2 linked regions of the Drosophila melanogaster genome follow. Changing the gene in region 2 together with the main gene of any one other region gives a genetic interaction. Each region holds a gene or a part of one and is shown on either strand. Other genes may lie near its edges. The genes, in order: NiPp1 and I-2.

What was found.
Region 1: of I-2 (region 2) and NiPp1, changing one enhances a phenotype caused by changing the other (phenotypic enhancement), as found in Drosophila melanogaster (one study listed by BioGRID).

Annotation. Positions count from the first base shown.
Region 1 is NT_033778.4:17,003,550-17,007,474, forward strand, and holds NiPp1 (nuclear inhibitor of protein phosphatase 1), read right to left. Parts: upstream 1,601-3,925; 5' UTR 1,510-1,600; coding exon 1,481-1,509; intron 1,419-1,480; coding exon 1,204-1,418; intron 1,149-1,203; coding exon 934-1,148; intron 873-933; coding exon 302-872; intron 242-301; coding exon 120-241; 3' UTR 14-119; downstream 1-13. Other genes in the region: CG6805 (uncharacterized protein), read left to right, coding at 2,212-2,958, 3,240-3,566.
Region 2 is NT_037436.4:9,834,587-9,838,511, reverse strand, and holds the start of I-2 (Inhibitor-2), read left to right. Parts: upstream 1-2,006; coding exon 2,007-2,303; intron 2,304-2,365; coding exon 2,366-2,463; intron 2,464-2,531; coding exon 2,532-2,699; intron 2,700-3,078; coding exon 3,079-3,173; intron 3,174-3,229; coding exon 3,230-3,504; 3' UTR 3,505-3,925. Other genes in the region: Cdk8 (Cyclin-dependent kinase 8), read left to right, coding at 1-37, 100-1,333.

The sequences.
Region 1 (3,925 bases), on a different chromosome or scaffold from region 2:
TATTAAATGTTTTGTTTTACGTTAAAAGTCTAATAAACAAATATTACTCCAGAGTGTGTTGTCAATCATATGCTTGAGAAAATCGTAGGTGGAATCTTAATTATTTTGTTAATACGCAATTACAGCTGCCCCAACATGGGCTTGCGACCTGGCCATGCTTCCTTGGCGTATTTCTTTTTCTGTGGGCACAGCGAATCGCCTTCGCCACTCGAGTCATGCGGATCCTCACCAAAGCGACGAACTAAAATGGTGTTATAAACAATCAGTAAGTTTTTAAACAAATAGTCGCGAGAACTATTACCGTTTGCATTAGCGACGGCCAACTTTTGAGCCAATGTCGAGGTCTCCACAGCTTCGTCATAGACTGGCAGCACTTCAGGCGCAGGATTCGGGAGCAATAGGCCCAACTTGGAACCAATGCTCAGCGGGGAGATGGGCTCTAGGTCACCCTTGCCATGCATTTCGGCCGGTAGACCTTGATATAGGGAATTAGTAGGCGAGTGGAGCACCGCATTGGGCGGAGGCATTTCCCTATGCTGCTGCTTCATGTCAACTAGGCTCTGCTGGAACATTTGGTGTACATGTGCGGCATTGGCACTGGACAAACTGCTGTTGCCCGAATGGATGCCCATATGATTGACGTCGCAGCGAGCCCTCTTGGCGGGCACCACAGTGGTTTGTACCAAGTTCCTGAAGCGTCCCACATTAGGATCCACATCCTCAGGATTGATGACAATCTCCTCATCGTTAAATGTGACATTTCGAGTGCGCCGTCCCTGTTTCAAGGCGTTTTGCTTTCGCATATTGGTATCATCATCGATGCCCAGCATTGAGATGCGCCGATTGTGGGCTGTGTTGTATTCTGTGAGATTCTGCAGGATAATGGAAGGTTAGTTTACATAGTATTTAGCTTTTCTTTTCAACCAAACGCACATCAAGCTCCGTTTGGCTTTCGGGTAGGCCCAGGAGAGCTCCATCGCTGGTTTCACTGAGCGGCAGGTCTTCCATGATGTTGCTGTGGTGGCCAGAGGGTCGTTCCCTGAGTATGTAGTTCCGGGTAGAAGCCCCAAAGTGGAAGGTGCTATTAATCTGCAGCTGTGTGGGCTTGTGCGCTTCCAATCTGAGTGTTCCAATAAAGGTGCCATGAGCTGTCAAAAGTAAATGGATAAGCTTACTCCGAATCCCAGATATCTTAGTACCTACTGGACCCCAGATCCACGAGGTAGGCTATGTTGAGGTGCTTGTGGTAGACAAACGCCGAGTGGACCCGCGAACAAGAGGCATGGTCTATGCAGAAGTCGTTCATTTGACTGTTGCGACCAAATAGATAGCATCTTTTTTCATCCACCATCAGTTTTTGTACTAGTTTGTCGTCCTTTAGCACATCCAGATGTAAGCCAGTGGGCGGTTTTCCAGCCCTAAAATAAATAAAATGCTACGTGATTTTGTGGCAAGGCAGCGGCTGAATTTGACAACGCACCAACTGGGTATGTCGTAGCTGTTAGCCATACTTTTAACTTAAGTAAAATAGTTCGGAAGGTAAGTTTATACAAAGTGTTTATTTTTATGAAAAATCCTTAGCCAGTGTGTACACACAATTGACTAGTTGCCGATAATATCGGTTTAGCACAAGCAAATGCAAAGGGGCATTCTCGCGTAAAAAAAAAAACAATGAAATAAGAGTATTATTATTTTAAAGGAACTTACGCACAGTACAACTTTTAATCTTATATCTTTATATTTCTTAAATTGATTTTTGGCTTTTATAATATCTAATGTGTTTCAAATAAAAATCTAAATTAGATGAGAAGCTCATGTTAGCCGATGTTTTCGATGAGCTTCAGAGCTCCGTTACTATCGAGATACCATAAAATTTTTGCCGCCGCCTAAGGTATATTTAAATAGTTGTGCTGCGGTCACACTAAGCTCACGCAACGGACGGACAAATAAACATAAATAACGACATCTGAGTATTCTATAAATAATACGGGCAACTAGCGCTTCCTAGTCCAATTAAAGCGGCTTAAAAAATTAGTGCTGAAGAATTAACGGTTACATAAATGAAAGTTGCGTGTGCAAAACGCCTTTCGCTTTATTTGCTGATGCTGCCAAATCCGTAAACCTGTTTTGGATGCCCATGAACTCATCAACAGCCACCTTGTGACGTCCAAAACAACAAGTATTAATCATAGATAATTAGACGGCGGAAAAATGGTTACGGCCACGGCGATTGCGGATCTGTGCATCTTCCTTTTGACCTGGAACGTGGGCACCCATACGCCGCGAAATCAGGATCTGAGCTCCCTTTTGTCCCTTAATGGCACCACCACTTGTCCGGATAACCAGCTGCCCGATATCTATGTAATCGGATTCCAGGAGGTGAGCACCACACCGCAGGTGCTAAAAATCTTCAATGACGATCCGTGGGTGCTGAAGATCGCGGACTCTCTGAGCGATCACCAGTTCGTAAAGGTGGACTCGAAGCAGCTGCAGGGAATTCTTATAACCATGTTCGCACAGCACAAGCACATCCCGCACATGAAAGAAATCGAGACAGAAGCCACGCGCACGGGACTTGGAGGGCTGTGGGGCAACAAGGGTGCCGTAAGCATTCGACTTTCGCTCTACGGAACTGGCGTCGCATTCGTCTGCTCCCATCTGGCGGCGCACGATGAGAAGCTGAAGGAGCGCATCGAAGACTATCACCAAATCGTGGACAATCACAAGTACAATGCGCAGGGATATCGCCGGATATTCGATCACGACTTTGTCTTTTGGTTTGGCGATCTTAACTTCCGTCTCTCCGGCGATATGTCCGCTTGGGATGTCCGCACGGATGTGGAGAACCAGCGATACGCTGATCTGCTCAAGCTCGACCAGTTGAATCTGCTCCGGGAGAAGGGAAACGCCTTCAGCTTGCTGGAGGAGCAGCAGCCCAACTTTGCGCCCACTTTTAAGGTAACAATCTAATATACAATCTTATTATCTCTACAGTCAAAGTTTGCCTTGAACTTTCTAATCTTAATCTAAATAATGTATATAGGGGTGGGTGTAATTAATTTTATCTGCACTTGAATTTTTAATTTCCGCCAATCACTTCATCAATCAATCACTTCATTCGGCTCCACAGATTTCATGAGAAAAGCAAAATCCAACTAATTTATGAGGCAATATGTCGAATGTAATTAATTCGCCTTATCTCTAGCACCCATATAAAGTTCATTTGATTTTCCTTGCAGTTCGTGGAAGGCACTAATGACTACAACTTGAAGCGGCGACCCGCCTGGTGCGATCGGATTTTGCATCGCGTGCAGAGCAACATTTATCCGGGCATTACCCTGAGTGCCAACCAGCTGTCTTATCAGTCCCACATGGACTACACTCTCTCCGACCACAAGCCCGTATCGGCGACATTCAACTACAAGGTCGAGGCTGCCAACCAGACCTACACCGACGAGGAGCTCCACGAAATGACGCACGGATCTGCCTCATCTCCGGCGACGCCAAATGTTAGTCTATCCTTCGCATTTGTTGTTTTTGTAGCTGTGTCCTATACTCAACTTTGATTTCGCTTCTTTTGTAGTTATTTATCGCTGAACTAGAGCAATGGTAGCGCCGTCATGACGTCACTTAGTTGTGAACTTTTAAATCTCTTTGCATGCTTTTAGATTATATGCGTAGACGAGTTGTAGAGTAATTAAAAGACTTCCTTTCAGAAGGAACAAGAGAAACGAAAATAATATCAAGTACAATGTGATGAAATCTCTGCTAATTTAGCAATCATTTAAGCAATTCTCAAGTGATCCATGGAAATAATGCAGCTTCCGAGTATATATACATACATATGTTATCACTCAATTAAGACGATATTAATTTAACGATTGATTGCATTAAACAAATGTATTTTTGTACACTAAACTGTTGA
Region 2 (3,925 bases):
ACGGCCACGTCTACAAGGCGAAATGGAAGGAGACAAGGTGAACTGGTCATCGGGTGCTCTTCAAACAATATAAATAATTATAGTATTCATGTTCTTTAGCGATGGCAAAGAATATGCCTTGAAGCAGATCGACGGCACCGGATTGTCCATGTCCGCCTGCCGCGAGATCGCATTGCTGCGCGAACTGAAGCATCAGAACGTAATTACCCTCATCCGGGTGTTTCTGTCGCACAACGACCGCAAGGTGTTCCTGTTGATCGACTATGCGGAGCACGACCTGTGGCACATCATTAAGTTCCATCGGGCTGCTAAGGCCACCAAAAAGCAGGTTGTGGTTCCCCGCGGTATGGTTAAAAGTCTGCTATATCAGATTCTGGATGGGATTCACTATCTGCACAGTAATTGGGTGCTACATCGTGACCTGAAGCCGGCCAACATCCTGGTGATGGGCGATGGCAACGAGAGGGGCCGCGTAAAAATCGCCGACATGGGTTTCGCGCGGCTCTTCAATGCCCCATTGAAACCGCTGGCAGATCTGGATCCCGTGGTGGTTACCTTTTGGTATCGCGCTCCGGAACTGCTGCTTGGCGCTCGTCACTACACCAAGGCTATCGACATCTGGGCTATTGGCTGTATTTTCGCCGAACTACTCACTTCGGAGCCCATCTTCCATTGCCGCCAGGAGGACATAAAGACCAGTAATCCGTACCATCACGATCAGCTAGACCGCATCTTCAATGTGATGGGCTTTCCGCAGGACAAGGACTGGGAGGATATCAAGAAGATGCCGGAACATCATACGCTGACAAAGGACTTTAAACGCTCCACATACTCCACCTGCTCGCTGGCCAAATACATGGAAAGGCACAAAATAAAGCCAGACAGCAAGGCCTTTCACCTGCTGCAGAAGCTGCTGCTAATGGATCCCAACAAGCGCATCACCTCCGAACAGGCCATGCAGGATCAGTACTTCCAGGAGGAGCCGCAGCCCACGCAGGACGTGTTCGCCGGCTGCCCCATACCGTATCCCAAGCGTGAATTCCTCACCGACGACGACCAGGAAGATAAGTCGGATAATAAGCGACAGCAGCAACAGCAGCAGCAACAACAGCAGCAACAGCAGCAGCAACAGCAGCAGCAACAACAACAGCAGCAGCAGCAGCAGCAAATGAACGCTGAGCCGAATGCAAAGAGAGTTCGATTGTCCGGAGCTGGTAACCAGCAAGATTTTCACCACCAGCAGCAGCAGCAACAGCAGCAGCAGCAACAACAGCAGCAGCAGCAGCAACAGATGATGTTCAATCAGCAGCAGAACTTCCAGCGCTTCAACTGAGAGACTGATACATGCAGCATTTTTTCTACAACACCTACTAATTTCTAGCCTTCTAAGTATTTAATTTAATGACCTTGATAATAGCAAGTAAAGTGTACGATATAAAACGTTGATTTTTAATGGACAGGGTTTTCTTTATTTAATTTTGTGAACTCCAATTAACTCAAATTCGTTGAAATATCTTTCCGAAGGATATTCAAAAATAAATTTGAATGCATGTTCTTTCCTCTCAAAAATGAATTTCTCAAACGAAGTTTTGAAAACTATTTTTAAAATTGGTTCGAGTCTGAGCTATTTATTTAAAGCATGTTATGTTTTTGTGTCGGCTTGGGTCACGATACGCAAGTATCGATTAAATGTAATCGAAGGTGCCATCGCTGTGTTGCCAGCTCTAGTAGAATTTGTTAGAATATTTTACCGGATTTGCCATTTGCTTTGCAATACAAATTAGAAGAGAATATCCACACAGTGACCATTAAAGCGTAAAGAGCCAAATCTAACGTTTTCCAAATTAAGATCAAAACCGCCCGTCTGGCGACATCGATGAGATCGTGGCCCTCGCCCAAAACCCAGCTGGCTGCCAACTTGAAGATTGTGGCGTAAATTGCCCTCCGGAAACGCAGTTGCAATTGCAGTTAACAGGCGAAAGTCACACAAGTAAGTGGGATTCGGAATGGAGGCGGTGGTGCAGGCGGAGGCGGACGACAACAATGCGTCGGATGTCCAGCGGGGTGTTGGTGGGGCATTGCTGGCCGTAGTGGCCACCCAGTGGGCGGCAATGGCAACCCCTCCAAGGGCACGAGGTTTCGCCGCGACCTGTGCCATTATAATCTGGCGAACATCGCGATTTCAGTGCCTGTTCGGCTACTGCCGCCGTGATTCACGATTGTCCAGCAGCAACAGTGGCAGCAGCAACAGAAACAACAACCATAAAATCTACGAAATCATCAATGACTCCCAACCGCCTGACGTAATTATCCGCGTGCATTGTTCGCAACTAAAGCACACTCTGGTCTTTGCCCATTGTTACAGGTAACACAGATAGCCAGGATGCAGAACAATCCCAGCCCACAGCTACCCTGCAAGGGTATACTAAAGACTTCGCGTAGCTTCGACAAGTCGGGAGCCAGGTGAGGTCATCGAATGACCCCAGTTAATAGCCCTTATTAATTGGTTTCTTTTTCATCCTTTTAAAAAGTTTTCGCAAAAGTGCCAAGTTCGATGAGCTGAACGTGATGCAGACCTTCCATCCGGCCGACAAGGACTACGGACACATGAAAATCGATGAGCCCAAAACGCCGTACAACTACACGGAGGGCTTCGACGAGAACAGGGACGAGCTGGACACGGAGTTGCTAGTGGAGAAGTATGTGGAGCTTTCCTATTGTTTACTTGCTAAATGGTTTGGCAAGAGCACAGAGTATCAAGTTTCAAACAAAACTGATTTCCAGAAAATGCGCCGTTCACATTTGTTTGTTTACATGTGACTTATAGATTCAGAGATTAAACAATCGTTGATAATTATACGATTTGCAAAATGATAATCAAATATATCAACATTATTGAGCAATATGACTGCCTCAGATTTCTTAAGAATATAACTAGCTAAATTCATAATCAATAATTTGTTTGAAAAGAAAAAGTTTTTTTTGAAATTTGAAGACTTATTTTAAAGCCGTGCCAGTCATTTTGTAGTTTACATATTATTGCACTTACAATTACTAAAAACACATACTAATTTGCAGACTCCGCATAGCGGCTAACACACAGCCGTCGACAGAGAGCATCGAGGACGATGGTTCCTCCGGTGATGACCAGCCCCTTAGCGAAGAGGAGCGACGTAAGTACCATGAACATCTCAGATTCCAACAATTGCTCAAACATATTTGCTTGCAGAACGGCGGCGCGAATTCGAGCGACGCCGTAAGGCCCACTATCGCGAGTTTGAGGCCGTCAAACTGGCACGAAAACTGATCCAGGAGGAGGACGACGACGATGACGACGAGGACAAGGGTGCGGATAGCCGGCCCTCGGGCTCGTCACAGGGCGCTTCCAGCTCCGGACGTTTCGCGAGCAGTTCGACCAAACGGTCGAGCTCTCAGGCTGACTCCACCACATCCCCGTCTACCAGCGCCGGCCAGAACATGGACCTGGAGCCATCGAATAACTAGAAGCAATGTCAACCCATCAATCAATCACTAATGTTTACCTAGCGGACAATGGACGATTCTGAGGGCAGCTCATCCAAAACAATAAACAAACGAAATTATATCAAATTATCAAGTGCTGTGCGAGTGCGGAGTGAGAAGTGGATGCTGATTAGCAGGGTGGCGAGGAGCACTCGTGATTAATTGAATTTACCCAACTAAACACAAAAAACAAACCGTCGCCAAGGAGATGCGTCATCGAGTAGTGAACACAGCCGATAAGCCGAGGGGCACTTTATTGTTGCAAATTGAGTTTAGAGCACAAAGAATGTGCACCTGGTCGGAGAATTTGATTGTACGACACAAAATATAATTAATCGTATGCGTCTCAGCCGTAGCGTCCTGTATTGTTGCAAATGTAGTTAAACAAAAGTCTTTCAAATTG